2 linked regions of the Coturnix japonica genome follow. The protein of the gene in region 2 purifies or fractionates together with the protein of the main gene of each other region. This does not show direct contact. Links are inferred from orthologs where the notes say so. Each region holds a gene or a part of one and is shown on either strand. Other genes may lie near its edges.

What was found.
Region 1: the proteins of CPSF6 (region 2) and NCBP3 purify together in Homo sapiens (co-immunoprecipitation; 3 studies listed by BioGRID and IntAct, with this or other methods). This does not show direct contact. The link is inferred for Coturnix japonica from reciprocal best matches to the Homo sapiens genes CPSF6 and NCBP3.

The regions. Positions count from the first base shown.
Region 1 is NC_029534.1:3,968,967-3,973,289, forward strand, and holds the start of NCBP3 (nuclear cap-binding protein subunit 3), read right to left. Parts: upstream 2,803-4,323; 5' UTR 2,710-2,802; coding exon 2,503-2,709; intron 851-2,502; coding exon 785-850; intron 246-784; coding exon 140-245; intron 1-139. UniProt on the Homo sapiens protein: Associates with NCBP1/CBP80 to form an alternative cap-binding complex (CBC) which plays a key role in mRNA export. NCBP3 serves as adapter protein linking the capped RNAs (m7GpppG-capped RNA) to NCBP1/CBP80.
Region 2 is NC_029516.1:32,102,986-32,107,083, reverse strand, and holds the start of CPSF6 (cleavage and polyadenylation specificity factor subunit 6), read right to left. Parts: upstream 2,860-4,098; 5' UTR 2,771-2,859; coding exon 2,711-2,770; intron 1-2,710. UniProt on the Homo sapiens protein: Component of the cleavage factor Im (CFIm) complex that functions as an activator of the pre-mRNA 3'-end cleavage and polyadenylation processing required for the maturation of pre-mRNA into functional mRNAs.

The DNA of each region.
Region 1 (4,323 bases), on a different chromosome or scaffold from region 2:
AGCATCGGTCCCAAAGACAGATCTTGGACACACACACATTAGGTGCCACTAGGAGATAAAACAATATAAATTAAGTAAAGGAACTGTGAGGAAGCAAACAAAGAGACCTTTCCTTCTTAATTGCTGGATAAAATCATACCTTTCTTCATCATGTCTCGATCCAGAGCTACATTCCTTTGGGCAAGATTCACTTCAGCTCGAAAATGGAAGCGCTTTGCTCTTTGTTCCTTTTTCTCAATCGCTTCCTGCACAATGTGAAACGATCCAGTCAAAACAGGAACAGCACAGCCTTCCCAGCAACTGACATCATAAGACTGGATATTAAAATACAACTGACCAAGCAGCAACAAGCTATGTTAATATTTCTCTTATTTCTGAAGAGATCTGTATCTTTCAGAACACTAAAAGAACTCACTGACATGTTACTGTGCTATTTAGTACTTCTAATGCAAGTCTGGCAACGTAATGAGGATCAAAATGCGTAGAAAATAAAATATCCTGAACCCATGACCAGTTTCTATGATGGAACAGTAAGATTTATTTTTCCTTCCTAACAAATGTACAGACTTTGTACACATTTTCAGGTTTTGGACACAAATTTTGCTACTTAGAAATCACAAGAACCCACCCAGATGTTGTTTGCAACCAACATGAAGGAGAATTGTCTAGTTATTGTGTTTTCATAATAGGAAGCTTCTGTGACTCTTAGGAAAGAAATGAAGTGTTTCCTCTTTTCCTGCCGCAATAATTAAAACACTTCAAAGAACCACAGGACAGAAATTACCTTGGATGTTACATCTATTCCAGTAATGAAACTTCCAGCTTTGTTTTCGTATCTCCTACTAGTGTCCTGAAACAAAGCAAAACAGTGATGAAAACTCAATGAATGCTGACTGCAACGTAATCACTAGGCTAAAACAAATCTGGCCTATGAGAAATCCATCCTTACTTCAAGCTACACATCCATACAGAGTCAGGTATATGAGCACTTAACCTCACTGACATCAGTGAGAGTTAAAGCACATCAAATGAACCCAGATTCCTCTGCTATGAGAAACGTGTGCTTCTGCAATAACTGCTGTATTATTAATTGTTCAATTGCTCACATTTTTACTTTGTCTCAGCAACAGGGCAGAAGCAATACAAATTATCCCTGGTTTGATACATGACTACAGACCCAGAGGAAGATTGACAGCACTGACGAACAAACATAAAACTCATTTCCACCAATGGAGACCACTGAAACCTAAGCCTGTAGTGAACAACACGAACCCTGGAGTAGTGACCCAGCTGTGTCCTGTCTGCATGTTTCACAACTGCTTCATTCTGGAACCCTCAGAACCATCTCCTAGGGAAGGTTTGTGACATGAGCAACGTGCCTTGCTATGTCTAAGGATAAATATGCTGCTTACCCTTGTGCTCCAATAATTATTTTGGCTAAAGGCCTTTTTACTAAAAAGTAGGTCAGGCTCGGTTAGAAAACAGTCACACACCGAGCCCAACAGCTTTTCTTAGTAACAAACTTCCCTTAAAGTTACAAGATATTTAAAACAGGAATAGAATTAAACGGAGAACAGCAAAATAAACGTTTTTCAACTGGAAAAAAACAAAACAAAACAACAACCAAACCACTGCTGTCTGGAGGTGTCTGATGGAGCACAAGGAAGTCCATACGGTTGGGTGCTGTCTCTTAGGCCACATATTCACAGAATGACCCGGGTTGGAAGGGACCTCAAGGATCATGTAGTTCCAACCCCCTGCCTGGCAGGGCCACCAAACATACACCTTTACTAGATCAGGTTGCCCAGGGCCCCGTCCAACCTGGCCTTGAACACCTCCAAGGACGGGGCATCCACAACCTCCCTGGGCAGCCTGTTCCAGGGCCTCACCACTCTCCTAGTGAAGAACTTCCCCCTGACATCCAACCTAAATCTTCCCTCTTTTAACTTAAAACCATTTCCCCGTGTCCTGCTATTGTCAGCCCTTTCCAAGAGTTTACTCCCCTCCTGGTTATAGGTTCCCTTCAGGTATTGAAAGGCTGCAGTGAGGTCACCCCGCAACCTTCTCTTCTCCAGGCTGAACAAACCCAACTCCCTCAGCCTGTCCTCATAGGGGAGGTCGGTTGAAGCTGAAGCACGTTGGTCAAGCAGCTAATTAGAGATTAGTTCCTCAAGCATTTTCCACACGCATTTTCCAAACAAAAGCCTACTTAGGAGCGGAGATCAACTCTGACCCACTTTCATACATTCAACCTGACCATAGCTGAACTTATCTAAGAACAGTGAGTACAAAAAATGAGAGAACAAGAAAAAAACCCTCAGGGCCCGCACTGCCTGAGCATCCCATTCACACTCCAGCTCCTCAGCCCGTACCTCCCCCCACTGCCCACCCCCTCCCTCATCTCCCCTCCCCCTTCCCACCCCCATTTCCCTCCTCCCGACCCCTCCACCCCCCGTTCCCTCACATAAACCCCCCGGTGCCTTTAGGGCCGCCCCTACGTACCCTGCCCCCCCTCAGGTGCCGGTCCCTCCTTCGCTCCCCCTGCCCGTCCCTCACCGGGATGAGCTCACGGAGCGATCGCCTCACGGGGATGGTTTCCAGCTCGCCTTCTTCCACCTCCATAGGTTCAGGCTCAGTGCCGCGGGGTTCTGCCATTGTCGCCGTCGCTTCAGTCTTCACCGAAATCCGCAGGCCCCGCACGGCCGCCATGACTCCCCGAGCCCGCCCTCCGCCCGGCCAACGAGACGGCCCAGCCGCGGTGCAGAGCGTCACCTCCCAGAGACACCACAGAGACGGCAGCGCGGATAGAGCGCCGCCAGGAGCCGCTGCAGAAGCGGCGCCAACGCGCTCAGGGCGGCCATAGAGACGGGGAGACAGAGCGGCTCCCTCGGCCCTCCGCCGGCCGCCATTTTCCCGTCCTATAATGATGGTGGCAGAAGTGAACTGCCTTCCACAGACGTTTCATTCCATACTTGGAGATCTGAGGGGTCTTTTCCCATCTTAATGATTCTAAAATCCAATAGCAGGTTGTTAATGTCAGTTATTTTGCCATTGCTGACATCACCCAGCCAACACCTGACAGGAACCACCAAGTGATATATATCAGTGCAGGTGATATTTCCATGCCAGATGGGAATGGATTATGTGAACATATGAGAAGTAAACAGGGCAGAAACACCCTGAAATCATCAGTAGAGGGAAGATTTCTGTGACAGAAATGCTGTTATAAGGGAAATAAAGGATACAGAAAGGATACAAAGGATCTAGATCTGTATATGATGTAGGAACAGTCAAATCAGAGGAGGAAAACCAGGCCTGAATGCATGCAAGGCTTTGGCTGCTGAATAGGTGAGCAGAATCTCTTGATACTTCCCAGCTTTTCATTATGAACTGTGAATTCTTCACAATTAAAGCTGATCTAATTTCATTCTTCTAAGTCTCCATCTCTGTTCTTTTCCACTCAGCGCTCAGGACTGCATCCTCTGCCTATAAAATGTGAACGAAGGAATGCAGGTTGGAGCAGAAAAGCTCCACCTTTATTGCAGCTTTTGTGCTGAAAGGGTGAATCAGTGGTAGTAAACTAGTGAGGAGTGGAGTGTTAATGATGAAACAGGAATCTGGAGAAGGTTCTCAGTCATTATCTAGAGAACTAAAGAAAGGCTGTTAAAAATAATAGAGTGACTGAACAATAAATCTTTCCAGCATAAAAAAAAAGCTTCTTAGAGAGGAAGTATTATTCATTTCCCCATTAGTGACCACCAGAGGGAACTCTTGCAATAATATTCCCAACTGCCAGCAGTTGTGAAAGAAACCTGCTGAAACCATCCAGCTCCTGTTGATGTTCAGCTGGAAACAAGGGAAGATGGGTTACAAAAGGGAAGGAGAAAAAGAACAACAACTCTCAGTCAAAAGGCAGCTTCTCTTCTTTCTTTCTTGGCCTGGCAGGAGTCTAAAAATGATTATTTTTATCATTGCAAGAGACTTCTGGCTTGTTTATTTGAAGACTGTGAAGCACTACCCTGAATGTGGCTGTACTTTCCTGCTGCTGGGATTTAATTCTCAACAAGAATCTCCAGCTTTTTAAATCTATGAAAAACCCGAGCACAGAAGTGTGCTATTTCTGCAGCCATCCTGCAAACTCCATGCGTCACCAGGGAAACTGGCATTCTAGGTTCCAAATAGATCATGACTGGCTCCTACCTACAGTCCATCTGGAGAGAGAACAGGATCAGCGAAGGAAGGATGCTCATTTGTTAAACCATCTGATAAGTCAAACACCTGGTGTTTTCTTATATATTTATAACTGCAGCCTCCCACCTGTAA
Region 2 (4,098 bases):
CTGCATGGAAATGGTCAAAGCAGAACACACCACACCACACATACTTCGTACAGGTCACAAGTGATGCGAGCAAAAATACTGCGGTTATGGGACTGTTGGTTCAGAACATGACACTGCGTAAATACAAAACACTGCTGGATGGGGAAGTCAGCTGAGAAGACAAATTATCAAGAAAAGAAGGGGAGGGGGAAATGAAATGGGAATTAAAACCAATTTAAATACAAGTGAGGGGAGACAAACTGAGTAAAGCATTAGACACAAGGACAAAGGACACAGTTATGATGAACAGTAGGTTAATGAAAGAGGCAACACAGGCACATACGGTTTTGATGAGCGCCAGATGGGAAGGGAAAGTTGTGCTTTCACTGCAAAGATGTGACTTCAAGTCCAGCCAGCCAGTTCTTTGCAACCTGCAGCTGGCTGCAAGACAGGTCTCAGTTTTCATTCAGTTCAGCCAGCCTGAAAACCTGGGGGCTGGAGTTTTTACTTCAGCCTTGTAACCTGGACTTCATCTAGTGCTAATCAGGTGGAACATCCTCCCACCTCATAGAAGCAGGCAGAAAACAAATCCCCAAATGGCCTCAAGTTGCACCAGGGCAAGTTTAGGTTGGATGTTATGAAGCACTTCTTTACAGAGAGGGTAGTTAAGCACTGGAATAGGCTCCCCAGGGAGGTGGTTGAATCGCCATCCCTGGATGTGTTTAAGAGCCGTTTGGATGTGGTGCTCAGGGATATGATTTAGCAGAGGGTTGTTAGAGTTAGGGTACTGGTTAGGCTGCGGTTGGACTTGATGATCTTTAAGGTCTTTTCCAACCTGGGTAATTCTATGATTCTAAAGAGCTCCAATAGTGAGCACATTGAGGCTCAGAGCAGGACAGAGCAACGAAGGGCTCACTCAACCACGAATCCTAAGAGATTTATTTCCTACAAACACAAAAGTGCTGTCCCAGCTTTACTAATAAATACAGTTATACCGTATTTGGAAGAATGAAAAAAGCTGCACAGCATGTTTCCAGTCCCTGCTACCAACAAAACTAATGGAAGGGGCTCCTGCAGTCCAACTAACACTAGCAAGCGGACACAGCACCACACAACTCAAGAGCAGTATGTTGTTTTACATATAAAACAAATTTTCGTTAGAAATACAGCATTGCATAAAACACCTGTTACATAAATTACCATCAAATTGCCATCATTTTCCCCCTACAGCATTAGAGAATTGTAATCTTCACCCCTCCGCAGCCATGCTGAACTGTAAGTCCTCTCCTATTAATTCAAGCTGTCAGCTTCAAATCAGAAACCCTGAATAGAGGTTTCAAGAGGACTCATCACAATGGCATCAGAATTAGAGGTAGCAGCGCTGTAGGTGGTAACAATTGGCTTTTGTTCCTGCTCTGCAGAAGGAAATGGAAAGTGCAGAGGTGCCAATCTTTGCCAGTCCAACTTTCTATTTTAATGAAATACAGTTCAGCTGAGTAGGTTCTGAGACAACATGAAAGCCCCAGAACTCAGGCTTAGAAAAGAAGAAACAGAAATGTCTTGCAAAAATTAAAGCAAGTAAAAAATCTGTCTTCACTGAGGTTACAGCCACAAACTGCACCACTTCGAGGCCTGCCCCCTATACGAATTTACACAAGTACTACTGGATTCAAACTATCTTTTCTGAAGAACTTGGTTTGTTATCACTTTTTTACGTGGAACTGACTAACACAAAACCAAAGCTGCTACAGAAGCTGCTGAGATAGAATCAGAGAACAGCTTGGGCTGGCAGAGGCCTCAAAGATTATATTTTATGCTGAATGGTATTTGTGCTGTACATCACCCCCACGTAAATTCATCTAATGGGTCTTCAGCTGTCAGGGAGAAACCTGCACATGTCTCTGTCATCTGCTCACGAGGGATGGCGTAGCTATATGCTATACCTTCAGGAGATTATCGATCTAAATTAATTTACCGACAAATACTGAAAGAAATAAAGTTGCTGGTAACATGAGCTGCGTATCCCAACCCTGCCGCCTGCTCCCACTCCACACAGGCAGCACTATGGGACCTGTTTTAGGGCAGTGCAGCCAGAGAAGTGCGGCACCCGCACATGGAACAGATGTTCCACAAACCCGACGACAACATCGCCTTTCGGTGGGAAGGGAGGAAGGCGGCTTTGGGGAAAGGCGAGTGAAAAAGAAACCAGAGAAATCAGACGGCAGTGCAGGAAGTTGTGCGCGTTACACCGCCACTTCCTCACACAAATAAATCCCCTCGGCTCACCAAGAGCCCGAGCATTGCGGGCACAGCCGGCGGGCGGCATTGCTGCCAGCAGCACGAGGCTGCGCTCCCCCGCTCCTCCCGCGCTGCGAACAATGGCCGGGAAGGGGCCGCTGTCCCGGGCGGGACGGCTGTGGCGGCACAGAGAGCGGGAGGGAAGGCGCCCGCCCGCGGCCTGTCTGCCTCCCTGCCTCCTTCCCTCCTTCCCTCCCGCCCCCGAGCGCCGCCGCTCCCCGCCCGGCCCAGCCCCGATCCCCCGCGGGCCGGGCCTGAGGCGCGGCCTCGCTCCGTCCCGTTCCGTCCCGCCCTGCGGCGGGGCGCCCGAACAATGGCGGCGCGGCGCGGCCCGGCCCCGCGCACAGGGCCCTGCAGGCGGCGCGGCGGCGAAGGCGGGTGAAGAAGGAAAGGAAAGCGAGGGGAGGAGGAGCCGGGCCGCTCCGACCCGTACCTGGTTGAACTCCTCGCCCACATCGGCGTAGATATCGATGTGGTCCACGCCGTCCGCCATGATCCCGCCCGGCCGCGCCTCGGGCCGACCGCCAGCCGCGCCCGGCTCCGCCGCCGCTGCCGGGAGGGGGAAGGTGCACGCGGCGTCACTTCCGAGCCAGGAGGGGGAACTTCCGGCGGCTGCCGCTTCTTGGGGGGCCGCCCCGCCCTGCCCGCCCCTTCAGAGTGCAGGGAAAGCGGCCCGAGCCCGCCTCGGAACACGGCGAAGTACGGGGCCGCTCCTCAGAGCCCCGCCGTTCCCCCTCAGCGCCCCTGCCAGGTCGCGGCGCGAGGTGCGAGGATCGCCCTCGATCCCGGAACACAGTGTGTTCTCCATTGTGTGTGGTGTTTCTCATCCGAAAATAAAGTTGCCTTTTGACAACGAGAAGTTTGTGTTTCTCTAGACCGGGTTGAAAGAGTGTTAAAGACCACAGGTGGATTGAAAATGCTCTTTTCCGTGAGTGGGAGTGCTCCTGGATCAGCATCTGTGGCCCTGAGCATCCCTGCTTCGTGTTGTGCTTTGGTGCTCTTGCGTTATAGTTCTCTTTGAAAGGAAAGGTTGGTCTTTTCCTGACAGAAAAGAGGTGAAAAATCAGAGAGCCACAGCAATGGGTATGCTGTGGATCACGCAGGCTTAAAGTATGGGCTGCTGTCTTATGCATATCTCTGTCAGGGCCCCTTTTTCCTCCTGCTTTTGAAAGGAAGAAAGCTCCAGCTGTATTATCAGATGGAAGCTAGTGTGAAAGAAGAGCTGAGGGAACACACCTGCTCATCTGTGTGCTCTCTTGTTCAGAGATGGGTCTGGAAGGCTTGCAGTCATTTGGTCACTTGCTGTCCCCAACAAACTTCATTAGGACTCGTCTCCCAGACCAGGCTGTGCTACCAAGGTCTCTCTCATGACCACGTTTCTGCTTCAGCCCTCACACTGGCTCAGCCTGCTGAGTCCTGCTGTACTTTGGGCATGGAGATGCTCAGGTTGTCCCTGGAGTTCTCATCCAGTTTGTGGCACACACACACATTATACATACATACAACAGCCTCTTGTGCTGTTATATGTGTTAACAAACAAAAAAACCTACAGCTGGGATTGTTCTCAGCTGTGAGAGCTTTCCTAACCAACAAACCAAGCACTCCTTGGAAAGCCCCTTGGAGAGGTTCAGAATATCACCTGAAGAAACATTTACTAGAGTGTATCCAGGCACTGTGTGTGGAGATTTAAAAAGGACCACGTCTGGCTTGATGATGTTCTTGTTACTTGTAACAACACGGAGCACTTTGGCACAACACTTCAGTCCATCTGTCCACCTTCTTCCACACTACTGAGGAAAAAACAAACCTTTCCTATCCTGA